Oryzias latipes: one gene and its partners. The main gene of each other region encodes a partner of the protein of the gene in region 4 in a complex. Links are inferred from orthologs where the notes say so. Each region holds a gene or a part of one and is shown on either strand. Other genes may lie near its edges. The genes, in order: ruvbl1, vps72, kat5, meaf6, kat6a, jade2 and kat6b.

Region 1 (4,705 bases), on a different chromosome or scaffold from region 4:
TGGGTCGACCGCCCTACCGCTGCACCACGGCCGCCCATGTAAATCAATTACTGTTACGGTCAGATGAAAATACTTTATCTTACCCTATAATATATCAGAAAATTGATTAAATTGACCAACACTGTAACTTAATGAGTATTTTTCAAATTTAGAACACTTGTATGGACTGGGACTAGTACAGCATTCCAAATATAAAGTAATATTTATATGTGATGAACAGTTATGATATGATATAAAATCTATTTCAAATAAACACATGTAAATGATACCATGTTTACATTGTGTGCTGCACTAGCAGTAAAGACTAATATCCCTGATCTTTTAAACCAGACATGCAGCTGCAATGTTGTCATTTTGCGATTTCTTCGGGCGTACTCGGATCGTTCAGACGTCACGTGACATCGTTCGTGTACACTCGGTTCTATCTTGATAAGTCGGACGTCGGTTTCCCAAAAATGTTGAATAAAAGACCAGGTTGTCACACGGACAACCATCGTGTTCATTTGGGGTTGTCCTCCGGGAAATCTGGTTGTCTCTGACAACAGGATAACTGCTTATTTCAAACGCTGCAAAGTTGTGAAAAAACGTTTTTTCTCTGCTTTAACAAACCCTATGTCTTCATGGATATAATTCCAAAACTATCTGGCTTGGTTGCCATGGTTCCTGTTGGATAAATGGATCGATTACACTCACCAATTGCCCTCCTGAAATTCTCCATCAATACTTCTGTTTTCTTTATCTCAGACGAGTAGACCTCACTGCCCACCATGGGGCAAAACGGAACCTTGTTCCCCAGCTCCTGAGCGATGGCCAAAGCCAGGGCCGTCTAAAGGCAGAAGACACACGGCGTCACAGTAAGAGTCTGCATGAAGGACGAGCGTTAGAGTCCGCCGGCATCTTCACTGATGCTTTACCTTTCCTGTTCCAGGGGGTCCTGCCAGTAAAATGGCCCTTCCTGCCATCTTTTTGGCCTGGATCAGCTCAACAATAATGCCACAAGCCTAAAGGGTAGAGAAACCAAAGAGAAATACAACATTTAAAGTAGGGCTGCACGATATGAGGAAAACTTGCGATATGCGATATTAGTGATCAATATTGCGATAACGATAAATTTGCGGTAAATAAACAAATAGAAAAATAAACAAAAACATCATTCCCATTTCATTGCAACAGTTTAAAAATTATACTCCAAATGACCCTCATCGACATGGGGGACAAACGTCAGGGTGGCTAACCCTGGTCCTCAAGAGCCTCAACCCTGTCTGTTTTCCAGTTCTCCCTAGACTGCTCGATAATGATAACCAAAATCAGGTGTGTTCAGTCAATCAGGATGTGAAATCACTTGAGTCAGCCAATCAACAGCAAGCTGGTTAAGGAGAGCTGGAAAACAGGCAGGGTTGAGGCTCTTCAGGACCAGGGTTAACATAATAGGCCTCCATCTGATTGGTCAACAATGGGAAGGCGTCCATCTGATTGGTCAAAGCATAAAGGGATTTATTTGATTCGTTAAATGCTTCAAGCTGCTAGAAGATTGTTTTAACACATTTTGGGCTTGCGATTTATTGCGATATTCGCCGTCTTTTGCGATATGCATATTGCAGAGCTGGATATTGCGATAACGATAAATTTGCGGTATATTGTGCAGGCCTAGTTTAAAGTATAACAATGAGGAAAAAGGAAAACTGTCTTTATAACTACGATGTTGAGTAAGACTAATAAACAGAAACGTGAAAGTTGCAGGTCGATTTGTTCTTTTGTGTGCCACAGGATGTATTATCAGATACATTGATATTGTTTTGGTGATATACATTTTTGCAGGACTCAAACTGAGATTTATAAATGTCATTTCAACGTCGTATCAAATCAAATCAAACTTTATTAGTGTAGCACTTTTCCCTCTAGAGCCCCTCAAAGTGCTTTACACAAAAACATGTTCAAATTTTAAAAATTTAAAGCAAGACGTTACATTAATATTCGGTAGAAATCCCATATAATGTCGTCGTCGCCCCCCCCTCCCCACCGCCCACTCAAGTTCACAGAATATGCTACCACAGGACCCCCCCCCCCCTAAAAAAGGCTTAAGAATACCATGATACTGGCCCTTTAAAACCAGCACAGACAATCTTGTTTGGGTAGGTAAAAACACAAACGGAAATTATTATTATTATCGTTTATTTTTTTAACTTTGCCAGTGCAGTGTTGATTTTAATTTTCCTTATAATAGGATGATTCTTAGGTAAGAATTCAAAACAGTGTTTAAGTGCAATCGGTCAGTTGAAACCTCCGACGCATGTAAAAACATATTTTAACATCCACCCAATACTGCTTTTAGAATGGAATGAAATTAAAAACTGAAGTAATACATCATGAAATTAAGTTGAAAATCCTGTTATGAACTTCTTCATCAAATAAAAATAAAATAAAACGTGTTTTAGAGGCGATTATCCTGCCTTGTTCCACTTTAGAGTCTAGAAAATACACTGCGATCTATATAATGTATTAGAGTTTTCTTTGCATTTTTAATTATTTAGCAGCCATAATGTAACAATAGCAAACAAAAAACACAAAAAAAATAATATGATGACTGTTTATTATGGTTCCAACAATTTTCCATTATAAAGAAATAACTGTCAGTGCTGTTAGTTCCATCCAATAAATAAAATTAAATAATCTACAGATCACATTTGACTTTATGACGGTTTTGATGTAGATTCTTTGTCGACTTACAAATGTGTAATAAGAAATATACCTTAGTTTGAGTTTCACATTTCGTTTTTCTTTCCCAATAAAATAAAAATTGTACCTGTATGATGGAAATATAATCAAGAGATTTCAATTCATTTTTTTAAATTTAATTTAAGAAATATATTAAATGAAATAAAAAAAATAAATCGCTACTTTGGAAACTGTGTGTTAATTTAACTAAGGAGGAGTCTCGCAGGTTATCTGAGAAGAAAACTACGCAGCTGTGCTAACTCAGTTAGCATCAGGGGTTAGCAATTTGCTACCGTGTTCTCATAGGAACTTATGTGCAAGTAATGTCTGAAGGAAAATAAAATACAATTGAAACAGAAAAAAGATGATTAACATCACCTCTCTGGCAGCCTCCTGTCCGACCAGTCCGCATGCTGTCTGTTTAGCATTGCCGGCCTCGTCTAGCCCGAGTCCCTTGACGTGACTGTGTGAAGCTATTCGCTGGGTCTTTGTGGTGCTTTTTACCTCCTCGATTTTCATATTTGCAAGTGTTACAGGAGCACTGGCTATAATACTGTCCAAGCCGCAAAGTAAAGTTTAAAAAATGTCACCTAAGTGTCTGCGTTTCTCTGACCACTACATGAGGCGCCAAAAGTCAAAACACGGTTTCCATGTGGGTTACCAGGGGAAAAAAGCAGGAATCGACACCCCTGAGGTACCGCCCATTTTAACTAGTCTGAAAACCATTGGTTTTCCTCATGATAAGAGCATTTCTGATTAGTCAATGTTCTGTCAATCAAAGTTGAAACCACACCCCTGTTTCCTCCTGTGCTTCGTTTTATTTTGTTGTAATAGAAACACACAAAAAAGGCCTCAGTATAAAAAACACTAATTGATCGATAATTTAAAATATTTATTTTATACATAGAAATATATTTCTGTGTTATATTTTTTTATTAAATTGTAATATTTAAATATCACATTTTTCTTATTTTGGTTTGTTCCCCGCATATAAACGTTCCGGTTCGTCTTGTAATCGGGGACGAAATAAAGTGTAAGCACCATAAACTCTGCAGTTTTTTAGGGACACTTTAGGCACCGAAAATGACTTGTTGATTTGACCAACTAACGCAGTGAACGTTATTTTTTTTCCAAATAACTATCAACGCGGTGCTCAGGTTTCAAGGTAGGAAAACGTTCGTGCTCGGAAACTTCGAGAGGATGTCCGAGTCTCATGACAGCCGCACGAAAACGTTAAATTTCAACGTGGGGGTCCTCGGACATGTCGACAGCGGGAAGACGTCGCTGGCCAGAGCGCTGAGCAGCACCGCCTCCACGGCTGCTTTCGACAAGAACCCACAGTCCCGGGAGAGAGGCATCACGTTAGACCTCGGCTTCTCCTCCTTCACGGTGGATTGTCCGGATCACCTGCGGGACGGCGGGGGCCTGAAGCCGTACGACAGTCTGCAGTTTACCCTGGTGGACTGTCCAGGCCACGCCTCTCTGATCCGAACAATTATCGGAGGTAACGTAAACCTGTGGAAGATCATGGATGGACTGAGCATCATGAAGGGTCAGGGGCTCAAGGTCCAACATTCCCAAGCCCTCCGAGGCATTCAGACAGTATGCAATGGTGGCAAAGGCTGTTCTGTTATATGATTGATTGATTGATTGATTGATTGATTGATTGATTGATTGATTGATTGATCACATCAGAACACACTGACATCCAGTGTCTGGTAGGGAACAGTTACATGGCCAATCTTATAGAGACTATAATATAGTCATTTACTTTTGACCAAAAACAGAGAACTTTTTCAAGCGGAATAAAATAAGAATAAAAATACAAAAATATGATGCAAAGAAACTAAAACAAGGGATTTATTTGGATGACTATTGTGGCAGTTTTCCAGGTTTTCATGGTTTTTATTGAGTTAAAATATATCATGAATTCATTTCAAAAACATGGACAGGATGGTTTTCTGCCTCTCTATTTACTACAACGAATGTG
Region 2 (4,720 bases), about 13 Mb from region 4:
ATGTAAGAAAGTCATAAATATAATGAGATGCTTGAAAGGTACTGGGTGGGGAGCTAGTGCACAGGCTTTAAAACAAATATATATTACAATGATTAGGTCAGTCACAGAGTATGGAATTATTGTTTACAATACAGCGTGCAAAACATTATTACATAAAATAGAAGTCATCCAAAATCAGGCTTTGAAAATATGCACTGGGGCTATGAGGTCAACTCCTGCTGTGTCATTACAAGTTGAAATGGGGGAGCTACCATTGAAACTAAGAATTAAACAGCTGATGCTTAACTATTGGGTGAAAATACAGGGTTGTGTAGATGTAGAGAACATGGTTAGGAGGGCTATTGATCCTTGTTGGGAAAGTGATAATGGGACAAATGAAAGTGCTGCTTGGAAATTAGCTAGGTTAGCGAAAAAAGCAAATATTCATGGCAAAACCCTAGTTAAGACGTTTTTGTACCCGACCACTCCTTTCTGGATTTTTCCAACTGCGCAAGTGGATTTGTATCTCCATAGAACAATGGAGGATAGAAAAGGGAAGGGAAACTGGGATGAGTTAACAGCAGACAGATTAGACACAGCCCACGCTTCATTTATACCCATATATACAGATGGATCTAAAGACCCAGCAACAATGCGAACTGGTTTTTCTTTCTGTATCCCTACATTGGACAAATCTGTTGGAGTTAAGACGTCAAAGGATCTTTCAGTTTTTACAGTTGAAATGTTGGCAATATCATATAGTTTACACTGGCTAGAACAGAACAGAATTGGGGATGGTATAATTTGTTCAGATTCATTGTCAGCTTTGATGTCTCTGAAGTCATACAATTCTGAGAGCAGATCAGATATTTTATATGAAATTTATGAGAGTTTGATCAGGTTGGCAAACTTGAAAATAAACATCAGATTCATGTGGGTACCAGCACATAGGGGGGTGGAGGGAAATGAAATGGCTGACTTCCTGGCAAAAAGGGCATTGAAACGGGGAATAGAGATGGAAATTCCATTAGATAGGACAGAATTTAGGGCAATTGTTAGGAGGCGTATTATGGAAGAATGGCAGACACAATGGGAAAGGGAGAGGAAAGGAAGACATCTATTTAGTATTCAGGACAGAGTAGGGAGAGGTATGAATGTCAGAGTAAACACCAGAGATAGCTGCATAATATCACGGTTGAGGATGGGACACACTGGTTTAAATAATACATTGCATTTGATAGGGAAACATCCAACTGGTTTGTGTGAGTGCGGGAGAGGGGAAGAGTCGGTGGAGCATGTGCTATGTCAGTGTGAACTGTATAGGGAGGAAAGACGACAACTGGAAAGTAGGGTACGGATGATAGAGGGTGAGCAAATGACTTTAAAGAAGCTTTTGGGAGGGGAGGAGAATTTCAATGGTGCGATTATAGGTTTTTTGAAAAGAACTAGGTTATTGAGGAGAATTTAGTTTATTATTATTATTATTATTATTATTTTTTTTTTTTTTTTTTTTTTTTTTTTAAGTTACATTTGGTTAGGTAATCCCCACTCTGACCCACACTCCAACACAGTAGGTGGCGGTAATGCACCTTCACGTTAGTGCCTCCCGCCAATAAAATCACAAGAAGAAGAAGGAAGTGCTTTCCGTCACCCGGATGTGCTTTCCACAGTTCTGTAGTGTTTTGCGCTGTAGTTATTCGTATTTATTACTTGAAGATATTGCTTAGAGTGGCTTAAACGCCACTTAAATTGAAAAATGTATTAAATACAGGCGGCCTTTCATAATTCATTTAGTGCAGAAAAACGCAACGAAAGCGTGAGTCTGGTGTTCCACTGACAACCGCTGCACAACAAGCTAACCCGGCTAGCGGTGTAGCTAACAGCAGGTACTATGAGTCTGGCAGGAAGCCGTGAACCCAGAAAGACTGCGGGAAACCGCATGTCGAAGCTTCTGGACGCCGAAGAAGAGGACGAGTTCTACAAGACCACCTATGGAGGATTTCACGATGTGAGTCAAACAGACCTGTGGCTGCAGGAATGAATAACTAGTGAGCTGTTACCCAGAGAATAAGGGATAAGATGAACAATATGGGGAGAAAGTTGTCTCACTTTTAAAGATGAGAGGACTGTGATGTTTAACTTTAAGGTACACTTCACCTGTAAGAGACAAACTAGAAAAAGAAGCAGGAAATCACATTGTAGGATTTATTTGTATAATGGTGAAGAAAATATGTGTTTGTCTTCCACAAACACAAGAATTCTGTCCCCAACAGACCTGCTACTTCTTCTTCATGAGTGCTACTGTTCTCTCCTGCATTAATGTCACCTGTTTGAACTGCTTATCTGTTTAAAAGACACCCGTAACATAACAGCTGTCGAATGGGACAAGACTGTAGACCTGAGCAAGACTGAGATGAACCAATCTACGATAAACAAGCAGACTGATGGAGATCAACGGTTGGAGCTAATATTAGACGGTCACTGGCAGTCTCTTTCCAACTGGGGTTGGATGGAATCTCTTATTTGTGGGGTTCAAATGATCTTGGGAAGAGTATGGAGACAGAACCACAGGGGGGGATCCGGTCAATGACCTGAAGGGAGCGTAGATCATAGACGCTCCAAAGGTCCCTATGCTTGAGTCAGCACATGTCCAGGCCTGCCTAAAGTTGGTCAGAGACCATCTGGATGATCCAGAGGAAAATTTGGAGATTGTCATAGGGTCAGATGAGACAAAAATATGTTTTTTTTTGGGGTCTATCCTCTTGAGAACCAGCCCATTTATTTACGTCCTCTGTAGGCAGAAGTTGTTTTTGGATTATTATTTGGCTCATTTGAAGCTAAATCCTGATGTGCTCAAATAAGGATATCCTGGCCTTTCCAATAATATCTTGTGTGTTTGGGTGGAATTATGGGAAGTTTGGTTTCCTGGGGAGACAAAACGGAGTCTTCAAAGGTCATAAATTAATATGCTGGTTCTCAGGAGGAAGTGTTTGGAGGAGCGGCGTCCCAAGAACACCGTACCCACTGTGAAGCATGAGGGCGGGAACATAATGCTTTGAGCCTAGATCTTCCATAATGGCAATAATCCCCAAAACAGCACCAGGGCAACCGAAGAGCGGCTACGAAAAGACATTTCAAGGTTCTGAAGTCGTCTAGCCAGTCTCTGGAGCTCAGTCCAGTAGAGAACCTTTGGAGTCTAAAAACATCACTGCTCTAGAGAAGATTTGCATGGAAGAATGGACCAAAATATTAGCTACAGTGTGTTCAAACCTGGTGAAGACCAACAGGAAACCTTTGACCTCTGTCATTGACACCAGGCTTACATTACAAAGTGTTGAAGTGAACTTTATTTATTGTCCAAATACTTAATTTTTTCTCTATTATAAAAATTCATTCCTTACAACAAATCAAACTTTGTGATTTCCTGGATCTATGTTCATATTTTGCTGCTCACACACTTGAAGTGGACAATGATGTTCAGAAAATGGGTGGAGCAGCAAACTTTGAAACCTTTAAATAGTGAGAAAATCTGGACGAATTTAGCAGCTGCTCCATTGTGTGGAGAACCACCTTTTTTCAGTTATTTCATTGTTCTCTTATCTGGGCTTTTATTTTGCAGGAATCGGGAGATGATGAATATCACGGGGAACATTCAGACACTGAGGATGAGGTTGACAGTGACTTTGACATTGATGAAGGTGATGAGCCGGATAGTGACCAAGAGGAAGACGCTCCTCGGAGGAAAAGCAGAGTTGTTACTAAAGCTTACAAGGTATTTTGTATTTCTTTCAACTTCATCAGCCTTTAAATGAAGCTTCTTCATGAACAAATGGTCTTGTATTGTGTTCTTTATCGTTTTTGCGTTTTTTGATAAAGTAAATGTTTGTTTCACTAATGTATTTGAGCTTCTGTAGGTCAGTTAAGTGTCTTTCTAATCTGGAAATTAACTCACTGCATAGTGTTAGGGTCAGAATGACCCTTTTTATAGCACGGAGTTATGTTTTCTTGTTTCTTCAGATTGTTTTGTTCAATCCCCCATAAATAAGGAGACAATTCTACTAAACATTTGAGCATTTGCTTTAAAAAAACAAAAAAACTGGACTTCATTTTTTTGTTCGTTACTAAAATCTTCACAGAATATTTTTGACCCTTGACCCAACGGATGTAATCGTTGGAAGATGTACAAATATTCTAAAGACGTTTATTTTGAAAATCTGTACAGAAAAACAAAACTATTGTATTTAGATAATACACTTACAAATGCTTCCACTGTGGAAGGTCATCCAGAAAATATAAACATTTTTAATCAATACTATTGGTTTTCTTTAAATTAATTACAATAAAGGAACATTTCAAAGACTGACTACTTTAGGCTTAAATCATGCTATAAATCTCGCCTCCTTGAAGAACAGCATTAAAGCAGATTTGAAATAAATACCAATAAGATTTGGATGTTTTTAATTAGGATTGACTTGTGAAAGTGTTGGTTTTTAGTTTTCTTACTTTTGACTGAAGGAACCCATAAAGGTGGCTAAACCCAAACCTAAAAAACCCAGTGAAGAGCAGAGGAAGACGGAGAAAACCCGAGTGGAGCTCAGGAGGAGGATTCCACAAGAACTGCAGGACTTTGCAGAGAGTAAGATCACAACCATAAGCTGAATTCATTTTTGTAAAAAAGCAAACAAAAACAAAGCAGAACCACCTGTAATTGAACACGTCGTTTAAAGGGTTGAGTCCATCC
Region 3 (3,744 bases), on a different chromosome or scaffold from region 4:
CCAAACTCGAGCGTCTCATTTGACCGATTTTTGTGGGATGAAGATGGAAAACAGTCAAGCAGGATGGGAGACCGCCTGCAGATGCCAGCAGACTCTAGTAAACATTTTATGTCATGTATGACTATGGTCTCAGTTTATATTTGTCTTAAAGGGGACACAAATTTAGGGATGGGTGCCGTTTGGGTTTTATCTGTGCTGATATGTTACTTTCGAAAGTAACAGAACCATTTTTTGGGTTTTTATTTTAACTGAATTATGGAAAAAAAGATGCAATTTAAAAAAGAAAAAAAGGAGCATCACAGGTTCCTGCAGAGCCTGAATTTTTCTGAGCTGCTCATTTCTCTCAGTCAGTCTCCCTTATCCTCACCTGCACCATGTGGATGATAAATTATTATTGCAAAATTAATGCAACTGATGCTCACTGCATTGTTGAACGGGAAATGCTTTTCGTATTTTGTCAATATATAAGAACACACCTTAATAATATGTCACTGAGTCTTTAGACGGGTTCGCAGTGTAAAATCACGAGAATAGTAATTTGTTTTTTTCATTGCACAGCACTTCATTTTTGTCAGTTTAAGTTCACTGTGCCTCACAGAAGTGTTGATTTAATGACGTGAATGTTTTTTTCACAAATACTTGGTAGTAAGAAGAGGGCAGCACTTTTTATTCTTTTTAGGAACTGTTTGCTTTGTTAATGCAGTGAAACAGTAGAGGGCAGGAAAGGTGAGAAGCAAAAAAAGCCCCAAAAATCTCACCAGATGCCTCTGGAGACACTTGAGGCTTTTCAGGTACTTGAGGCAGAATTCACAGAGGTAGAGAATGGGCAGAGTGGTCAGCTCCTGTGGGTACGGCGAAAAGTACCACGGCTTGAGCCTGTGCCGGCCTAACTCGATGCACTCGATGTTTTTCATGCGGGTGATGATGTCATCGTGACTGCGATCTGACACCAGGCTGCCGGTCATGCGGGGTGCTGTCGGTATACCATCAGAACTGTCTTGGGAGTCCTAAACGAAGACAGTGGCCGTTAGTCCCAGCTGATCCTTAAAACCAAGTTACAAAACGGTTTCACAGGGTTATACTAAACAAGATTCTGTTTTGTAAAGATCAATCATAGATATTGATTTTACCAACCGAGAACAAAATTGGATCAACATTAACCAGAGTCAATCATTTATTCGAGCAATATAAACAGCTGATTTTGGACTTCAATACACAATAAATTAGCAATAACAGGTAAATGAACAGACCTCTGGTGGGGGTAGAAAGACGGCGGCACTTTGAGGCTTGTTATACTGCAACACCTTTATCATCTAGAGAACACATGGTGGCAGAATCTTAATGCAAGTAACAAAATGAAACCTTTGCACTTTGACGAGTTTTTAAAATCTTCTAAAAATCGAGCTGCTACATACCTCATCAGGACCCCCACAGTTAGCTTTCCTCTTTCTACCAGGCTGAGGGGGTATTAGACGCCGGGCGGTGCCGTTCTACAGCCAAAAGAAGACAAACAGCTGCTTATTCCTAAAACTGTAAAACCTAGAAGAGAAGTTCATGATGATTTAAGAAAAGAAGATTTGCTCCACCGTTGTGACTGTGGGAATCGGCTCAAGGTCTTCCCGCGCCTTGAAGGGGGGGGGCTCTCTTACGACAGGGAAAACAGCCGCCTGGGAGGTTTCAGTTGAGCTCGGCAGGGCGGGCACAGGGGTGGCGGGTGGTACCGGAGTCACCAGGGGAACCACCTCTTTCCTCTTCTGCAGCAAATATACATCATTACAAATCCTTTTAAAATGGGGGAAAAATAGATAAACATTTGACCAGGACATTTTTTTTTTTACTTTAACCCCTGAAAATCCTGCACAAGCAAAGGAAAATTATCCAAATGTTTTATTCACTCCTTATGACTTTACTACCGACAGAATTGTGCTCTTATCCTCTATGCAGTTAGAAGGATTCTATATATTGCATTCAATATCTAAAATTATTGAAACTTGAACAGACTACATACTTCTTTGACAGATTATAAGCTGTGTTGATAAGCAAAACCCCCCCAAAAAATGTAACAACCAACTTGTTACTAAATCCCTGCATCTTGACCTTTTTCTGTAGCGCCACGACTTTCTTCTTCTGACTCAGCTGCACTTCTAACCTGAGCTAAAGAGCGATACAGTCAAGCTAGTATGATAACAGTTCTAATTAGGTCTCAGAATGGGTAAATTCTACTTGTACCGGCGTGGGGAGGGTTTTGCCTCTGGAAGGAGCTGTGGCAGATTGGAGGTTGAGATCTAGAGTCTTCCTCTGAATTGAACACAAAGGAAGATAAGGGCATTAACTGACACGGGGTTAATGACATGCAGGATTCAGCCGCAGGTTGATATTTCGGCTCACGAACAGACTTCGACTTCATGATTGGAACAGAATTAATAGCAAATTAATAAGTCTCTTGATTGGTTTATAAATGCCGCTTGTGTTTCAGAGTTTCATTAAATCAACCGGGCTAAGCAACATATAACAAGCTTCTTTAAAACAATTTGAAAAAATTAGACATTGTTTCTTTTTAAAAACAATTATGTCTGGTGTTATATTACCTGTTTCTTCTGCAAAGCTGTGTCATTGTTTGTATCTTTCTTCTCACTCACCTCACAGGAGAAAAGCAGACATGTGTTAAGGGCTGACAGCGGGGTGTCATTACATGATACAAAAGATCCACATTTGACATATAAACAGAAAAATACTGAGACTTTGGGTTCAAGGACCAATAATATGGGATTTTTGTCTCAGTAGTGAAAAAGAAAGTAGTCCCAGTCAGCTTTAAGGGCTTAGTTAATTACACATTTAAGGAGCAAGAAAGACTGAAGAATAGAGATTTTATAGTTAATACAATTTTACATAAAGTAAACCAGGAGATCATCATTCATTTCAATGAAACAAAAACACAAAAGGCAGTGTGTGGAAAAATTGAAAACTTTGATTTACTTTTTCTTTTCCACAGATTAACAGCATTTCTTGGATCACTAGTTTGCTACCTAATCCAGTTTTTTTTAAAAAAGGTTAAGAGCAGCGTGTGTAAAAAATAAAGCAAATTTCCCAATTACTTTGTTTCAGACGCCATAATTATTGGACAAACTTTTTCATGGCCAAGAAAAATAAAGAGGTCAGCTGCAAATCTCAAAGATGAAACATTGCTAAACCAAATCATAGATGGATTCTAATCGTGGTCTTATTAATTCAAGTTTAAAAGGATAAATCAGAAATTCTCAGCCTGACTGATATAAATGCCAAAAACCTGAATGCTCAATTCTTCGCAGCCGTCTAGCAGGAATTTGGGGTTTGATTTACTCTTTATAGTGTTTTTGTGAACAATGGAATAGTGCATTTAAACAATAATACACTGCAGTGTTCCTTATTAAAAAGATTGCTTTGTAACAAACATTTTTTGGGATGAAAAATCCTAAATGAGGTCCTTAAACTCTGAGATAAGGGTTAAGCTTCCTGATGTTTTCTAACAAAAACAAACACCTGTTGGTAACCAGATGCTCAAGCAAACCCAAACTGGCTGCTACTTAAAGATTCTTCTCATTTCTAGAAAGTTATGGTCTTACCAAGTTTTTCCACACACTGCTTCAGCAGTTTAATAACTTATTCAGGAAATAAAACAGTAAAGAATATTAAAATATGTTCTTTTTTAGGCACAGCATTTACATGAATAAATTATAAAATATTATAGTAATTAACATGAATATT
Region 4 (4,708 bases):
TAAAATGAACAAGCATTTGATTTTAAAGATCCGCTCTGATGCAAATGTTAAGAAGCCTTGCGGTCCGCCGAAAGGCGAGCTACCGCCTGTCCCAGCCCCTGCCTATCGGCGCCCCCTCCACGGCCCGCCGCCCCTCGCTCGCTGCCGGCGGCACGCGCGGGTAAGGCGTCGGGGTTCCAGCGGTCGCGCAGATGTCTTCTGTTCAGATGCTGAATCATGGAAGATGTGCTGTTGTGGAATGCCAGCTCTATTTTGCAGTACAGACACTGCACCTTGTTCTCTTCTTTATTAAGTGTGTAATGATCCCACACTTAAGACAATTTCTGCCGTTTATTTATAGATCTATTCTCCGCCATCGCGCCAACTAAATTCAAAAGGTCCGTGTGACACAATCAAATCCCTGCGTATAGTGCGCGTCATAGGAATGTAACGAGGCTTCGAGGCAGAGTTTTTTCCTCGAGGAAATTTTGTAATCGAGTAAGTCGAGTAACTCGAGGAATCGTTTCAGCCCTAATCATCATCATCATCATCTGTAGCCAGCTTCAGCAATCACACGAGCATTTTTTTTAGGAAATGAACGTTTTCTACTTCAACTTTTTTAGTCAGAAGAAGACGGAAAAAAAAAAAAAAAAAAAAAAAATCACCATATTTTGTAAAAATGTTCAATTATTGTAATTTTTATTAAGTGTAATCTGTTCTCTTGATCTTAATAACACAAATATATTAGTTTGCCTTGTTAAAGCTGTAAATCTCCAAATTTAAACAGAAAAGTTCTGGTGAATCTGCTGCGGCTCAGCTTTAACCCCGCCCACACCTCACCTGTGTCTGTTCTTGTTCTTCCTCTTCTTGTAGCTCCCGTGATGGCTGCCTGAGGAAGAGGAGGCGGCTTTCTGAGGCTTCAGGTCGTGCAGCGTGGAGTCCACGTCCTCCGTGTCCTCCTGACTCGGCTCGTTCTCCTGGTTCTGAAGGTCTGGAGACGCATCGCTCTCTGTGCCGCTGCCGGCCTCACCTGGGGAATCCCCCGGGAGGCAACAAGTCAGAACCGGCATTCTGAGGAGGCCCAGGCACCAGGAAAGTAGGCAAATTTGACTCACGCTTCTCGTTCATGTGATCCGGGATCCCGCCGAGCGCACACACTGCCTGCCAATCACAAGAGACCACTGAGGAGCAACTTCACATGAGATGGCTGAACGCATCACGCGCAGGAAGTACTTACTGCGACGGACGTGACAGAGGACTTGCTGAACAAACGCTCCGCTTCCTTGAACTTGCGATTCCTCCGGTCAGTCTTACTATTGGAGTTCCTGATTGATCGCAGAAAAAGAAAAGGACCCGATCAGCAAACGCACAGAAGATCTAACCTCACCGGAGTCTGCCGCATTCACACTCACTTCTGGTTGGTCAGGTATCGGTCCCACCCTCGGATGATGTTCCCGTACATCTGAGTGTCCTCCAGGTAGCTGCCCTCAAAGGCGTAAATCTGCCGCTCCAGGTTCACCAGCGTCTCCTGTGTCGTTAAAACGGTTTTACTGCAGACGTTCTGATTGGTCAAGCTAAGATCAGTGCTTATCTTTTCACAAAGATAGCTTTTTTAAAATTTATTTCATTCATTTATTTTTACCATCAAAAACTTGAAAATCCTCTTGAGGTTCTGGTAAAGATTGTTTCATTATTTAGCCACTTGAGGTAAACTTTGAATTTTTCAGCTCCAGAATTGGTCTTTCTCTTCCTAGTTGATCAACCCAATCATCTAATTTTCCAATTTATGAACTAAATTCAATGTTTATAGAAATCCACAAGACTGCAGAGTCAGTATACAACTAGAAAAACATTTTCTATCTTTGAAGTGGTAGATGATGGATACATGCATTTATACATTCCAACTAAATTCAAGAAAAATTCCATTTTGAGACTTTTTAATTGAATTTGACGCTTGTTATTGTCAATAAAGGTCAATAAATTGACGGGAAACATCTTTCAAGTACAAGCAAAACATTATTTTAAATAATGTTAAGGAGGCAAAAGTTAAAGAGTAGTCGTCCAAACAATAACAACATGTTAAAAAACGAGTATGTAAACCAAACGAGTATGTAAACCAAAAAAACTACTACTACAGTACTGGGTAATTAAGCAAATTTGTTGTTAAACGTTTTATGTTAGACAAAAAAAGTAATTTTAAGTGACGCACTAGTACTTTACAATAAAGGTCATTTTCCATTACTTAGAGTATTACTAGAAGCACAACTAGAGATGAAAACAGTAAAAGTCGCAAAAAGATAAGAAAAATAACCTATGACAGAAATGTAACGCGATTGTAACTTGGTTTTTCACTACTAAATCTTAGTAGGTTCCACTCTGTAAACAACGGTGTTGAACAATAAAGAGTTTCAAAACGTAAGGTATCGCGAGAACACACTGTTCGTGCTTCAGGTCTGTAAACTAATTTGGATTTTGTTCGTCAAAAAACGTGAAAAAATAAAACATTCAAACATGAAACGCAGAAACACAAACTTTAAATGTTTTTTTCGATGTGAGGATAAAGTGTTTTTGTTCTTGGTCGATGCTTAGTTAGGACAATTCACAATAAAGGTTTTGCGGCCTGCTAGCTCAGCTAGCATAAGCTAATGCTCGGGTATCTCAGCTTGGCGCGCTAAACCCGGGTTCCGAAAAAAAACATTTAACCCGCTGAAACAGAACTGCGGACTCACGGCGAGCTCCTGTTTCCTCTTCACCAGCTCCGCCAGCTCCCGACGCGTGTCCGGGATTTGCGGCGGGGTCGCCTTCGCGTGCATCGACATGATGGCTCGTTCCGGAACCGACGGGAGGAGGCGCGCGCGCTCAGGAAAACTGGAGACGCGTTGGTGCCGACAAAGATAAGACCGCAAGGTGGCGCCCAAGCGTTGTGAAAGGACCCTCTTCCTACCTTGTTTTATACTTGAACTGAGTTCTGGAAAGGTAAATGGAAGAAAGAGACAGTACATAACAGTAATGCCCAGTGGCTGGTCTCTCTGACAAAAGAAAATAGCAACCTCCCTGAACAGAATCCAGTAACCATCACAGTGGCAGACATACAAGAAAGAGTCTCAGGTATGAAAAACTGCACAGCACCGGGCCCTGACATGTTACATGCCTACTGACTAAAGAAGCTCACCGCACTCCACGAGCGTCTGCCAGCACAAATGAACCAGCTGCTCATGGGACTCACCCGAATGGCTAACGGAAGGGCAAACGATCCTGATCTAGACGGATCCCTCAAAGGGTGCAGTCCCAACCAACTATTGCCCAATAACCTGTCTATCCACAACATGGAAGCTCATGTCTGGCATCATTGTAACCAAGATAAATAGGCACATGGATCAATACATGAGCAAACACACAGAAGGGCATTGGTAGAGTCTTCAGAGGAGCCAAACACCAACTCCTGGTTGACAGAACAGTCACTCAAGACTGCAGGTCACGACACACCAACCTGTGCACAGCCTGGATTGATTACAAGAAGGCCTATGACTCAATGCCACACACGTGGATCACTGAATGCTTGGAGCTGTACAACATCAAAAGGACTCTTCATAGGAAATGAAGCCAATGGGAAGCCACTTGCACAAGTGTCCATCAAATTTTGGATATACCATGGTGATGCTCTGTCCCCACAGCTGTTCTGCATAGGTCTGAACCCCCTCAGCCAAATAATCAACAAGACTGGCTATGGATACCGACTCAGAAATGGGGCCAACATCAGTCACCTCCTCTACATGGATGACATCAAGCTATATGCTAAGAGCGAGCGTGACATTGACTCCCTGATCCACACCACCAGGATCTACAGTACTGACATTGGGATGTCATTCGGGCTCGAGAAATGTAGCCGGATGGTGACAAAGAGAGGCAAAGTAGTCCACACAGAAGGGGTCCCACTCCCAGAAGGAACAATGGAAGACATTGAGGAAAGTTACAAGTACCTTGGAATTCCGCAGGCAAATGGCAACCTGGAGCAGGCAACAAGGAAAGCTGCAACAGCTAAATACCTCATACAAGTAAGGCAAGTCCTGAGAAGCCAGCTCAATGGCAAAAATAAGACTCGGGCAACAAACAGCTACGCACTGCCAGTAATCAGATACCCTGCAGGAATAATAAGATGGCCAAAGGAAGAGATACAGACCATGGATGCTAACACACGAAAGCTCCTCACCATGCATGGAGGGTTCCATCCCAAATCCAGCACCCTGAGACTGTATGCTAGCCGCAAGGAAGGAGGCCGAGGACTAGTGAGCGTAGAAGCCACTATCCAGGATGAAACATCCAACATGCATGAATACATCAAGCTCAAGGCCCCAACTGACAGTGTGCTCAGTGAATGTCTCAGGCAATGGAGAGCAAAGGAAGCAGTGGAGGACAGATCCTCATGGGAGGACTGCATGGGATGTACCTACGGAGCATAACTGAAGTGGCGGATGTCAAGAAGTCCTACCAATGGCTTGAAAGGGCTGGCCTACAGGACAGCACCGAAGCACTCATCCTGGCAGCTCAGGAACAAGCCCTGAGCACCAGAGCATAGAGGCTCAGATCTACCACACCAGACAAGACCCAAGGTGTAGGCTGTGCAGAGAGGCGCCTGAAACAATCCAGCACATAACTGCAGGGTGTAAGATGCTGGCAGGTAAAGCATACATGGAGCGCCACAATCAAGTGGCTGGAATAATATACAGGA
Region 5 (4,086 bases), on a different chromosome or scaffold from region 4:
GATATCGAGCTGTTCCGACACATCCAGGAGTTGGCGTTACAGGTACGCCGAGTGAACCGAGGAGGAACAAAGCAGCATCTGGCTTTAGACAGGAAAACGGCATCTGAAAGAGCAGGAGGTGACAGGAAGTCAAGTTGGATCGCAGGTTTTTCTCTGCAAAGACACAGATCAGCTGTTGGATTCAGCATGGATAATTGATCCAGATAACAAGGACAGCTGCTTTGCCACAGGAACTCTTTTGAGTTTGGCATTCTTCTCATGACTGATAGGAAATACGGCAAGATCGGAAAGACACAGAGGCCTGACAGTTTAAGCGCACTAAATAAATGAATTACCTTGATGTCAGAGGCTTATGTGCTGCAGTAAAGTCAGGCGAAGGTGGGCGTTCTGCCAGCTATTGAACTGTGAAAGGTCAGCGTGATTATCCAGGCTTAGTGGCAGTGATTCAGAGTTACGTGTTTGTCATAAATCTTACCACAATGCTGTGAAGAGGCTCCAGGGAAATGTTCATTTCCCTGTTTTCCCCATCCTCATATTCATGCTCAACCCCAACAGAAAGTGGGCGTGACGGGTCCGCCTGACCCTCAGATGCGCTGCCCAGCCGTCATCGAGTTTGGCAAGTTTGAAATCCAGACTTGGTATTCATCTCCCTACCCGCAGGAATACAGCAGGTAAGTTAACATACTTCAAAACTGCACATCAACACAAAGCTGTTAGTGAACAGGTCTGTTAACCCAGGGGGGAGGAGGGGGTGTCACGGACCTCTGCCGGTCCGTGAGATGTAAAGGGCCACACACCAAAAAGAAAAACGTTTTTCTGTTTTATTTACTATCTCATTCTGAAGGAAGTTTAATGACATCTGACTCTTTCGTCGCTCTGTCACGTGTCAAAAAGGCATCCACTGCTTTCTTAAAGCGGCTGCGCCGTTTGCCAAATTAAAACCCCCCAAGCTAGAAAAGTTAGCAAAAAAAAAAAACATTTGGAAAGTTTCTTTTGGCAGAAAAGAGTCTGTAAGGAAAAAGAAGAGCCTTTGAAGTCAAATTAAAAAAAAAAAAAAAAGAAGTTTCCTTTAACAGAAAAACCATCAGTTATTACTGTAAATGTGGATTTATTGTGACAGTTGATCGCACACACCATGATAATAATGCATAATATGAAACTATGGGCAAAATAAAAAAAATAGACCAGTCTGTGAAAAGTGTCTGACACAATCCGGTCTGTGGCCTGAATACGGTTGGGGATCACTGTGTTACACCACCTAACAGCCAGAACTACTTAGTCAAATACTTAAGGTTGGACGTCTCTGCAAAAGACTTCAAAATGCTCCCCCTACTGTTTCTCCATGGTGTTGCATTTCTGTCATTCTAGACTTCCAAAGCTGTACTTGTGCGAGTTCTGCCTGCGCTACATGAAGAGTCGCAGCATCCTCTACCAGCACATGAAGAAGTGCAGCTGGTTCCACCCTCCTGCCAATGAGATCTACAGGAAAGACGACGTCTCCGTGTTTGAGGTGTGGAGAACGGTCGAGTCCTGCGGGCCTCAGTCTGATCTTTTTCTCTAAAGCGCAGCTCTTGTCGTTTTTAAAATCCTTTCTCACCTTTGGGATTGCCAGACGTTCCATGTGTTGTTAACTGATGCCTGTTTTCCCTGCCGACTAGGTGGACGGAAATGTGAGCACAATCTACTGTCAGAACCTGTGCCTGTTGGCCAAGCTGTTCCTGGACCACAAGACCCTGTACTACGACGTGGAGCCGTTCCTTTTCTACGTCCTCACGCAGAACGACAGCAAGGGCTGCCATCTTGTGGGCTACTTCTCCAAGGTACAACCACGAGCGCAAAGGCTTGTTGAAAGACTTAAATAAACAACATTAACACTTTCTGTATGTTTGAAATAATCATTTGTCTTTTTTTTCCCTCAGGAGAAGCACTGTCAGCAGAAATACAATGTATCATGCATCATGATTCTTCCGCAGTACCAGCGCCAGGGCTATGGGCGCTTCCTCATCGACTTCAGTACGATTTCTAACCTCAAACTCATCACTCATAGCTGAAAAAGTCTCTTATAAAAAAAAAAAAGAAGATTTTTCATTTAATCTGCTTTTGGTTTACGTTTCCTTTCAGGCTACTTGCTGTCGAAGCGGGAGGGGCAGCCCGGATCTCCGGAGAAGCCTCTGTCCGACCTGGGCCGGCTGTCCTACATGGCCTACTGGCGCAGCGTTGTGCTGGAGTGTCTTCACGAGCTGCGGGACCGACAGATCAGCATCCGGCAGCTTAGCAAAATGACAGGGATCTGCCCGCAGGACATCACCTCCAGCCTGCACAGCCTGGGCATGCTGGAACAGCGAGGAGACGGGTCAGGACCACAGCTGTGTTTTTAAATTCGTTTTTGTCACATTACTCTGAGAACAAAGATGCTGCAGCCTCTACATTAGCACATAAAAGCTCACATGAAAGGTTGACACAAAATCCCAAAGTCGCCTGACTTTTGACCTTTATTTTGAAATAACTTCATGGTTTTCCTCCTCAGACTTGTGTTGGTGCGAAGGGACAAGGTTGTGGCCAACCACATGGCCCGCTTGAAGGCGCGGCCACGACAGCTGGAGGTGGACCCTGAGTGCCTTCGCTGGACTCCAGTCATCGTGACAAACACGGTGGTCTCTGACGCCGACGGAGACGACGATGATGAGGACGAAGAGGGACCAGAGGGGGACAGTCGCAAGGATGTAGGTTTGAGTCTGCGACCACGACAAAAATGCTTTTGTAGTGCCTCATCTTTCATTTTGACGGCGTTTGTTTTGATCTGTAACCAGGTCAAACCGAGCCACAACTTTTCTTCGTCCGCCTGGCAAATCCAGCAAGCGAGAACCAAGGACGAGGAGGATGAAGACGATGAGGAAGAGGAAAGGAAGGGGTTTTTGGGGTTTCCTGTAAGTCAAAGCTCTCCGGCTTCCCCTCCCGTCCGCTCTCAAGCAGCTCTGTCCGATCACCCGCGGCCCTTTCTGCCAGCAAACGGAGAGCGCCGGCCGCGCGGCCGCCCACCCAAAAACTGGCCTTGGGGCAAACTGAACAACAGCCCACGCGTGGGGCGCCCATCCAAAATGCGGCCCATGGACGACAAGGACGACGAAGACGAGGAAACCACGGTGGAGGGGAAACCGTCGTCGAGCTCCAGGAGCCCTCCATCCCTTTTCTCCTTGGACCATCAAGCGGACTCTCCAGCCTTTCAGGGACTCAACATGGCCAGGCACCCCTCCGTAACCCCCACCCGGAGGGGCCGCCCCCCCAGAAAAAAGAGAGGCCCAAAGCCCAGACTGGCAGACGGGGAGGGTCTGATGCCGCTCTCTGTGATGTCCCGGTTGAGCGATGCGCTGCCGGTCCGACGGAGCCACTTCAGTGAAAGTAGCGAAGAGGAGGAGGATGAAGATGAGGAGGAGAACAGAGCGTGCTCCCCACCCATCCTCACAAAGACAGCCATGGGGCTCAAATGCAAGGTAAGAACCTCCTCCTTCATGTTTTTGGCTGCAGCTGGTAAGAAGTGGAATTAATCCACTGTGTTTGTGCCCAGAAGCCCCTGAAGAGGCCTCGTTTTCGCAGTCGCAGCCACCCTCAGAGCAGCGTGGTAACGGAGACCATCTCTGAAACCACAGAGGTGTTGGATGAGCCCTTTGTGGACTCTGACTCTGAGCGGCCCATGCCCCGACTGGAAGAGGAGCCCTCCCTGGGGCACCCGATGCGCCGCTATCCCCCTGCAAGATCCGCCCTGATGTTATCTGACCCTCCTTCGAAGAGAGGCCGCCTTTCCAACTTCTCCGACTCAGAGGAAGATGGTAGGAGGGCTGGCCCCTGTAACCTTGTAGGTGTACCTGAAGTCGACCTTCTAACTAACTCTGTCACGTTTCCTCCTCAGACTTCACACCAATGCTGAAGCCTGTAGCTTCTCTGGCTGCAGCTCCGTCACAAATGGCCAACGCGGATGTCCCAGTCAAGAAGAAGAAGGGTTGGCCAAAAGGAAAGAGCCGCAAACCGCTGCAGTGGAAGAAACAAGGACCCGAAAAATCACCCAGCGAGGCGTTCAGCCATCAAACG
Region 6 (4,086 bases), on a different chromosome or scaffold from region 4:
GCTTGTTTTTTTGCTTTTTTTACCAGAGTTCTGTAATGTTTAACTTCTACAACTGTGAGAGTCAGAATGTAAAGAATCCAGGAAATTGTATGATTTGTATAATGGTGCAGAAAATAAGCGTTTATCTCCTTCAAACAAGCAGGAATTCTGCCCCTCACAGGCACCGAATTTTTAATTTAAAAAAGTTTGATTTGATTCGATTTGATTCGTTACTTCTTCTTTAAGAAGCTCTTCTGTCCTCCACTTGTTACCGGTGTTAATGTCACCTGTTTGAACTGGTTATCTGTATAAACATACCTATGCACACCATTAAACAGTAAGACTGCAAACTGTCCACCATGATCAAAGAGCTGTCAAAGGACACCAGGGACAACATGGTAGACCTGAACGGGACTGGAATGAATCGCTCTACAATAAATAAACAGCTTGATGAGAAGAAATCAACTGTTGGAGCAGTTATTAGAAAATGGAAGAAATACAATATCACTGTTCTTCCACCTGAGCTCCATGCAAGATCTCACCTGGTGGGGTACAAATGATCTGGGGAATGGTGAGGATGAAAGCAAGAACTACATGGGAGCACTGTCCAATGAAAAGAAGAAAGCTTTGACCATAGTAAAGAGAGCTTACGATAGTAACAAACATGGCTTCAAACCAAAGGCCACATGCACAGGACCGTCTAAACGTTGCCAAAGACCATCTGGATGAACGGATCATGAATGGGAGAAAGTCATGTGGTCAAATAATATCAAAATGGAACTCTTTGGTATAATCACTTATTGGCGTGTTTGGAGGAGTTACATTCCAAAAAACAGTATCATTGAAGCATGAGGGTGGAAACATCATGGTTTGGGGCTCCTTTTAAGGAGAGGATGTACACTGAATTTTTTCTCTTGCATTGAGGATAAAACATGTCTGGATTTTCCAGCAGGACAATGATCCCAAACACATCACTCTGGCAACAACAGAGTGGCTATGTGAAAATCTTTTCAAGGTTCTTGAGTGTTCAAGCCAGTCTCTGGACCTTAATCCAATAGACGATCAGCGGAGGGAGTTTTCAAGCAAAAGCCCCAAAACATAATAGCTCTTGAGAAGATCTGTATGGAAGAATGGACCAGAGCAGCAGCTACTGTGCGAACCTACTGAAGACCTACAGAAACCTTTGACCTCTGTCATCAACAATCAGGGTTGCAAGTATTGAGGTGTACCTTTGCTATTGGTCAAAAACTTATTTTCTCCTCTATTATAAATAGATTCTTTAAAAGAAAAGTCATACTGGTTCATAGTGATTCAATAGATTCTTTTTTGACACTCCGTTTCTCACAGTTGAAGTGTTTCAATGGTAAACATTACAGCCCAAACTTACAGAATCAGTGACTGACAAATGCTTTTCTGCTCCACAGTAACAAAAGTATTGTCTCTTTAACACAGTACTTTGATGTTCTCTTAGTGTCAGAGTCTTACAATGACAAAATGATAGAATTTGATTTCATGTCAGAAAAAAACCCTTTATTTACAAAAGACACAAATGTGAACAAAGAGGACATTCTGAAAACCTGAAGATGTCCATTTTGATTCATCTGATTTTTTTTCCGCTTAACAATTTTGGGTGGTTTGAAAGAAAAGAAAAGTACAACAGTTTTATCACATTTAAATAAATTTACTGGAGCATTTTGCTCTTCTCTAACTGTAACTTACTGTGGTATAAATCCTAATCATTAACATAAAACCCTAATCTTTGATATTGTCACGATTACTCTTCTGCAACGAAAATGGGAGTTCATGCAAAATGTGTAACTGTAGCTAAAAAAAATCATTTCGATGATGAGTTCTATCCTCTGGGTAAACATTTTGAAGACGTCCCTTCCACCTATGAAGATGATGGAAAGCAGAGGCAGAAAAATGCTGAATCACCTCAATCTAAAATCTGGAGTCTCAGCCAGCAGAACCCATTAAATGTTCTGTTCTTTTTGTTTAATCTGTTGTTGAAGGTTATGAGAAACAAGTCGTTCTGCTCCAGGAAGAGCCTGTGTGTGTGTGTGTGTGTCTGTTTGATTTAAGGGACAACTTGTACCAGAAAAAGTCCTGCAACCCCAGCGGGGATTTACTAACACAATTACTTTGTTTTATCTCACGAGGGCCGATCAGATATCGAATAAAATGGTGGAGATGTGGGAGATGCTCGGGGTCAGCAGTTGTCACCATGACAAAATGGAGAGTGCAGCAAATCAGAGGGGAGGGAGAGGGGGATGGAAGGGGGAGGAATAATCAGGGACACTGCACAGTTTTTAAGACCAAATTAAAGTTGTGTAAATGTTTCTTCAGACGTTAAATTAGATTTGAATGATCTCAGAGAAGTTTTTCTTTAGAAAAAGAAGGTGTAAATCCTGTGTCTCTAGACAAATGTTACTTTTATACCTGAAACCCTCAAAAACTAGACAAACTACAGCTAAAAATGTCAGAGACATTATGTGATTAGACTCTGAGCTCAGCTTAACATCAGCATCAATTGACATTGACTTTTTTTTCCCCTTTAACTTTGACTTCTTATAGAAACAAATATGTAGTAAGTCGGTTGTCATCAAGAAAAAACAACTTTTTTCCAAAATGTCAGCTTTTCTAAAACATTTTTTTTCTCTCCATGGCAACCATTTTACTTCCCTGTTGTCTGGGAATAGAGAATTGATCCGTGTAACTCTAAAAGGAATCTGGGAATGTACATTTTGGATTTTACTTGGCAAGAGATGCCCACTCCTTCCTGTGGACAGCCCTGAAGTTTCTCCTTTATTTTTTTTAGGAGTTTTTCCTCACCGCGAAGGAGGGTCTAAGGGCAGACATGTCCAGTTTAGCTTAGTCTGTTTAGTTTAGTTTAGCCATTACCTATTGAATATTCTATGACTTCACGTTCTTTATGATTCATGTTTATTACTACACAACTACTGTAATATTGGGTTGTATAAATATAATTGAATTAAATTGAATTGAGGCTTTTTGTTAACCACGCCCACATTCATAATACTGACATTTCATGTTATATCATTTTGTACAGATTGGAAGGTTTAAGATGGCAGCCTTTTCTCAAGGTCAGAGGTCAACAAAACTCGGGGATGGTTGTACACCTAACCTTGTGGTGCGTGTGAAGGTTTATGACGTTCACTCGAACAAAAGTCCTTGTTCCCATATTGTGGAAAAATAAGAAAATCAGCCAAATTTCACACTCTACCACTAAACGGACGCCAAGCTAAATGTCCTGTGGCCATCCCATAATAATTTTTTAATTTCCATTGGACCTCCCTGTTTTGGTTTGTTTGTGGAAAAATATGTTTTTTCAGCGACATAAGACGTCATCATTTTTTTGAGGAGGTCCATCTATCTGCCCAAAATTAATTTTCCCCGGGTAGTAGGTGCGTGAAAATCTTAGTAAGTTTTTGAGTCGGAGGCAAAGGATTAAATTTTCCCTCAAACGCGCAGAGGGAAGGAAGAATTGCAAAAACAATGTGGTCCTAGCAGACCAGGACTAATGCGGGATATAAAAATAAATCCCAATAATGCCTAAAAATGAGACAGTAAGACTTTTAAAAATGTCTTTTTTTTGCAGGAACTGAAGTAAAATTTGAGATGTTTTTGCTTTAAAAGAGTTGTGAATGCATTCTTGTCCAAATTCTAACCACAAACTGCAAAAACAGGATGTATGATGCATCGAAGCATATTTATTGTTTCTTTTAAAAGTTTAAACTCGACATTTTTTACTTACCCATCTGTCTGAACTCCAGGTTGACCAGTTGCAGCCAGGCAACATCAAGGTCATCCAGGTCGTAGCAGGTGTACGGCTGAGGGCGGGAAAAATGAGACTCTCCGTCCTTTTGCCGCCCATTGTTGGACAGTTCAGCCAAGGATGCCGGCAGACACCTGAAACACATCAATAAAGTGTTTGTCTTTCTGATTCCTCAAGAAACTGACTGACTCAGCACACAAAAGTGATCTTTGGGCTTCAAGATTGAACCTCATTGAAAACAAAATTCCCTTTGGTAACAAAATGTGGGCTATTTTATGAGGTCAGAGTAGCATGAAGAGCTACACAGGACC
Region 7 (4,086 bases), on a different chromosome or scaffold from region 4:
CCTGAAGCTCCACCTCCTCAACACTGTTGGTCTTCAGGGAGACGGCCCCCTCAGGGCTCTGATCCAAATCTTTGGCTGATGAGTCTTGCTCACGTCCACTTCCCTGTTGGTCCTCCTCAGCTGGCTCCGTGGAGTCCCCTCTTTCCACGGCTGCAGGAGAAACCGCATCGACAGAGCCAGCAGGAGAACACACCGGAGACGTCTCCAGGGACCTTTCAGGGGAGCTTAGATGTTGGGATAGATGTTGAGGAGGACTCGAGGGTGGACAGTGGACCTCCTCTTGCATCATGACTGGACTAGAAAAACCTCTCCCTTCTTTGCTGCCTTCATCTGCACTTCCAAAGTCCTGGTCTGGATCCTGTTTTGCCTCCTCGTGCTGCTGCTCTGCCTCCATTGGTGTCTCAGGAGGAGTGTAGAGGTTCAGCTTGAAGCCCATCTTTCGTTCATTCTTTAACCTCCATTTAGGAGGGCCACGCTTCACTCCTTTGGGCCAGCCCTTCTTCCGCTTCACTGGACGAGGTTTGCTTGTTCTCTTAGACAGAAGGCAATCTACGGATCAAAGGCAGAACAACAGATCTTCAGAGTCTTACCACGGAGAAACATCCTGTAAAATAAAAACGCGCTCAAATACCTTCACTCCAGAACTCGCGATTGCTCGTCAGCTTGTTTTTCTCCAGCCTTGGGCGACCTCTCCGCCGCTTCATAGGCACAGTTACAGTCTTCAGCTTTCGGGTCTCCTCCTCCTCATCGTCGTCATCTTCCATCTCGTCCCCTCTTGAGCTGCGCTTTAGCCGGGGCATGGGGTGTTCGTCGTCGGAGTTATCGAACGGCTCATTCAAGACCTCCGTGGTCTCAGAGATGGTTTCTGTCGTCACGCTGCTGTTTATCTGCTTCCTTTTACGGCCTCTCTTCTTGAGAATGGCGGTTCTCTGAAACACAGAGCAAAGAGGGGTTTATAAACGCCTCCTGCACAGCAGAGCCGCTCTTTTGGTTAGGCCACTAGGTGTAGAAACAAGCGAGAATAGAAGATATTCAGTCTGTGCAAAATGTTTAAACCACACAGAAAGACTAAATGTTTAAGCAATGGAGCTCGCTGTGCAAAACCACAAATGAGAAAGGCAGAGTAAGCAGAGACCACGGTCTAGCTTTTTTATTCTCCGCTTGTTTCCTTCCAGCTGCCTGCAACTCAGCCACTTTCTGCTGTAAAGTCCTTCACAAGGAAAATGTGAAATCAATACTGTAATGCACTAAATAAGCTCCAAAAGCCGGTGTCATTCTTTTCGGGCTTCTATGCCTCTCTTGTTGAAAAGGTCTCCTGACATGGCGCAGCCGGCAGTGTTATTATCTCCAGCACAAGGGGGCAGTGCCTTATAGACAGAACAGATGTGAGGCGCAGGGAAGAGGGCGGTAAATTAACCATGACCACTGACAATGGTACAAGGTTTAGCCTGCACAGGCTCAACACCGGCAGTGAAAACACAATCTATTATCTGCTGCTGCAGGCACACGGGGAGGCTGCAGATGACAGGAGGAAGCCACTGAACCCTAAACTAAATTTATGAATATTTATCAAACCTTTCCATCTCACTCAAGTAACCACTGTGCTCCTTAATGAAAGATAATATCCAAATGTCATGCAATTCCACTTTATCACAGACTACAACTGCAGACCAGTGATGCCCTGCATCTGTCACACAAACACCAAAAGGCACCTTTCTCTTGGCGGCCAGTATCGCGTGAGCTTTTTTCAGGACGGGCGGCGAGGCATCGGAGTCCTCATCGGTTTCGTCGTCGCTTACTGCCTCCGGCTGCTGGATTCGCCTGGTCCAGGTGGGAGTGGGCCGCCGCTGATAGGTCCGGAAGGGGATCTTGCAGTGGACCTTGGTGAGAGGCTGCCTGTGTCCGTGAGTCACGGTGTAGCCCTCCCTCTCCTCCTTCTCCCAGCAACTGGCCCGCTCCTTCAGCCGCTCAGCCTGGTAATTAAACAGACAAGACGCATTATCTCTGGGAAAGGAGCACGCAGGGATGGAATATCTGAGCAACGAGGCTAATGGGAAAACAAGTGATTCGAATTAACATCATGACAAATGAATCAATACACGTTTTTCCACTTAATATGAGCAGCTCCTTGATTGGATGTCTGCAGGTCGTGATGGAAACATTTCTGTTAAGCAACCATTAAAAGATTGCTTTTCATGGAATATTCAGTACTATCAATTATGTGGTGACACAGAGATTGCCTTTCCATTACTGGCCTTATTTTACCCCCTTAAAGACCCACTCCGATGAAAATGGAACTTTTCTCATAATGGAGGACTTGTATAAAGGAAAATTAAGATAAAAATTGCATTTCTGATGATTTCTTTATCCAAATTCTTCTCAATTTGGATAAAGCAGAGGGAAAAAAATCCAGTCTGAAAAAGATCGTAACTGTGTCGCAGAATATCCACTGGGCAAGCCCCAAGCTCCTCGCTTCACTTCATTCTGATGCATCCACTTGTAGACAAACAGATCCATGTACGTCTTTGTTTTCCTCATCCGAGCTGGTATCCGGTTCAAAACTGTACAGCTGGAACGTTCCGATATTGCTAGCTACTTTTTATTTCTGCACCGGTAATGTTAGGTTGGGGGCTGTAAGCTAGAGGGAGAGCGTGTAAAACGAGGGATGATGGGAAATGAAGGCATAGACTCCTTGTCAAAACTCAGGGGTAAAATTCTAATTAACTACTGCCACTTTGCAGAAACTATCTCCTAGAAAACGACACAGGTTTTTTAAATTTTGGCTAAAAACAACAAACTCCGAATTAAAAGAACACTGGGAACGCTTTTAGAATAGAAAAGATGATCAGAGTGGGACTTTGACCAAAATGAAACCGTTTTAGTTTCGCTTTTTTGTTCCTTCTGAGGGAAACGAAGCGCGTTCAAACACTCTGTTGTGCTTTCCTGTGACTGAACCAGTACTGTCCGTTTAACACATTCATTTCAACATGGATCTGCAGCAGCAACATAAATGGATAAACACACACAGCGGCTACGAGTTAATGGGACAATTAACCAGCTGTTTGGATGATTCAAGCAGATAACAAAGCGCTCCTCAATCTCCCTCTCTGTTGTTTTATTACAATACTTGACTGCACAACCAAGGCCTTTTCTTTCATTTGTGTTGGGATAGATGTGTAAATGATTTCCAATCTTTTTTGGGGGTGATATATAAAAGACATATTTCAACTGCTTCCATCCACCTTTGTTTTGTATTCCATCCCCTCCTTTTTGAGAGAATATTGGTGAGAAAACTGCGATAGCGCTTTCACAGTCGATGAGAGTGATCAAATGTATCAGATGCCTGAAAATGGCTAAATAAACATCATTTTAGGAGAGCATGAACAGAAAAAAAACCCAAACGTGGTTCTGGAACAAAAAAACCTACATCCATCTCCACCTCCCTCTCCTCCTCAGACAGGACGGGGTTGAGAGTGGAGGAAGGAGTCCACCGTAAGGCCTTTGGATCCACTTCTCTCTGGCGTGGGCAGGCTCTCAGCCTCTCCATGTGCTCCTGGATCAGTCGCTCTCTTCTGACTAACACAGTCCTATGACACACAGATTCAAACATTTTAAAAAAGCATGAATTAACGGCACAGAGGTAAAGTGCCGCGTGGTTAAATACAGACACGACGACGAGCTCTTTGGGACCGCAGGTGCCAAGTATCCTTTGGGGTTCTTAACCTGACTTACTTCTGTCAATATTCAGCTGCAATAATGGATATGCTGTTAAAAATACTTGCTGACCTGGTTAAGTCAGACGGCGTGCAGCAGCAGAAGCGCGGGCTAAAGGAGACTGAGGCTCGGAAACTGACCTGCCATCTCGTCTGTCAATCATGCCGAGCTGCTGGAGAGTGGCGGCGATGTCGTGCGGACACATCCCAGTGGCTCTGCTTATTCCTTTAATACTGATGTGTTTATCTGGGGGCATATAAAGGTGCTCCAGTATGACACTTCTCCAATATGCCAGGTAGGATAAGCGACCCAGATCTGACAGCGGCTTCTCCGGGGAGCCAACTTGTCCTTCTTGCCTGGTGAGGAGGTAAC

Evidence for each region.
Region 1: meaf6 (region 4) and ruvbl1 share a complex: the UniProt entries of both Homo sapiens proteins name them as parts of the nuA4 histone acetyltransferase complex. The link is inferred for Oryzias latipes from reciprocal best matches to the Homo sapiens genes MEAF6 and RUVBL1.
Region 2: meaf6 (region 4) and vps72 share a complex: the UniProt entries of both Homo sapiens proteins name them as parts of the nuA4 histone acetyltransferase complex. The link is inferred for Oryzias latipes from reciprocal best matches to the Homo sapiens genes MEAF6 and VPS72.
Region 3: meaf6 (region 4) and kat5 share a complex: the UniProt entries of both Homo sapiens proteins name them as parts of the nuA4 histone acetyltransferase complex. The link is inferred for Oryzias latipes from reciprocal best matches to the Homo sapiens genes MEAF6 and KAT5.
Region 5: meaf6 (region 4) and kat6a share a complex: the UniProt entries of both Homo sapiens proteins name them as parts of the MOZ/MORF complex. The link is inferred for Oryzias latipes from reciprocal best matches to the Homo sapiens genes MEAF6 and KAT6A.
Region 6: meaf6 (region 4) and jade2 share a complex: the UniProt entries of both Homo sapiens proteins name them as parts of the HBO1 complex. The link is inferred for Oryzias latipes from reciprocal best matches to the Homo sapiens genes MEAF6 and JADE2.
Region 7: meaf6 (region 4) and kat6b share a complex: the UniProt entries of both Homo sapiens proteins name them as parts of the MOZ/MORF complex. The link is inferred for Oryzias latipes from reciprocal best matches to the Homo sapiens genes MEAF6 and KAT6B.

Annotation. Positions count from the first base shown.
Region 1 is NC_019863.2:3,775,203-3,779,907, reverse strand, and holds the start of ruvbl1 (ruvB-like 1), read right to left. Parts: upstream 3,235-4,705; coding exon 3,094-3,234; intron 1,002-3,093; coding exon 915-1,001; intron 827-914; coding exon 694-826; intron 1-693. Other genes in the region: eefsec (selenocysteine-specific elongation factor), read left to right, coding at 3,916-4,219. UniProt on the Homo sapiens protein: Possesses single-stranded DNA-stimulated ATPase and ATP-dependent DNA helicase (3' to 5') activity; hexamerization is thought to be critical for ATP hydrolysis and adjacent subunits in the ring-like structure contribute to the ATPase activity.
Region 2 is NC_019869.2:7,277,664-7,282,383, forward strand, and holds the start of vps72 (vacuolar protein sorting-associated protein 72 homolog), read left to right. Parts: upstream 1-1,466; 5' UTR 1,467-1,870; coding exon 1,871-1,987; intron 1,988-3,598; coding exon 3,599-3,751; intron 3,752-4,494; coding exon 4,495-4,615; intron 4,616-4,720. UniProt on the Homo sapiens protein: Deposition-and-exchange histone chaperone specific for H2AZ1, specifically chaperones H2AZ1 and deposits it into nucleosomes.
Region 3 is NC_019872.2:15,158,482-15,162,225, forward strand, and holds part of kat5 (histone acetyltransferase KAT5), read right to left. Parts: intron 2,640-3,744; coding exon 2,589-2,639; intron 2,299-2,588; coding exon 2,224-2,298; intron 2,155-2,223; coding exon 2,098-2,154; intron 1,755-2,097; coding exon 1,587-1,754; intron 1,491-1,586; coding exon 1,416-1,490; intron 1,314-1,415; coding exon 1,251-1,313; intron 1,008-1,250; coding exon 759-1,007; intron 1-758. UniProt on the Homo sapiens protein: Catalytic subunit of the NuA4 histone acetyltransferase complex, a multiprotein complex involved in transcriptional activation of select genes principally by acetylation of nucleosomal histones H2A and H4.
Region 4 is NC_019869.2:19,899,873-19,904,580, reverse strand, and holds the start of meaf6 (chromatin modification-related protein MEAF6), read right to left. Parts: upstream 2,943-4,708; 5' UTR 2,799-2,942; coding exon 2,709-2,798; intron 1,508-2,708; coding exon 1,392-1,507; intron 1,305-1,391; coding exon 1,217-1,304; intron 1,141-1,216; coding exon 1,095-1,140; intron 1,010-1,094; coding exon 820-1,009; intron 1-819.
Region 5 is NC_019867.2:24,404,955-24,409,040, forward strand, and holds part of kat6a (histone acetyltransferase KAT6A), read left to right. Parts: coding exon 1-42; exon of another isoform or gene 43-103; intron 104-335; exon of another isoform or gene 336-555; coding exon 556-671; intron 672-1,368; coding exon 1,369-1,510; intron 1,511-1,658; coding exon 1,659-1,820; intron 1,821-1,919; coding exon 1,920-2,013; intron 2,014-2,121; coding exon 2,122-2,353; intron 2,354-2,527; coding exon 2,528-2,723; intron 2,724-2,810; coding exon 2,811-3,491; intron 3,492-3,565; coding exon 3,566-3,827; intron 3,828-3,907; coding exon 3,908-4,086. UniProt on the Homo sapiens protein: Histone acetyltransferase that acetylates lysine residues in histone H3 and histone H4 (in vitro). Component of the MOZ/MORF complex which has a histone H3 acetyltransferase activity. May act as a transcriptional coactivator for RUNX1 and RUNX2.
Region 6 is NC_019872.2:3,879,733-3,883,818, forward strand, and holds part of jade2 (E3 ubiquitin-protein ligase Jade-2), read right to left. Parts: intron 3,910-4,086; coding exon 3,755-3,909; intron 1-3,754. UniProt on the Homo sapiens protein: Scaffold subunit of some HBO1 complexes, which have a histone H4 acetyltransferase activity. Acts as an E3 ubiquitin-protein ligase mediating the ubiquitination and subsequent proteasomal degradation of target protein histone demethylase KDM1A.
Region 7 is NC_019877.2:10,227,424-10,231,509, reverse strand, and holds part of kat6b (histone acetyltransferase KAT6B), read right to left. Parts: coding exon 3,855-4,086; intron 3,588-3,854; coding exon 3,428-3,587; intron 1,974-3,427; coding exon 1,713-1,973; intron 930-1,712; coding exon 632-929; intron 550-631; coding exon 1-549. UniProt on the Homo sapiens protein: Histone acetyltransferase which may be involved in both positive and negative regulation of transcription. Required for RUNX2-dependent transcriptional activation. May be involved in cerebral cortex development.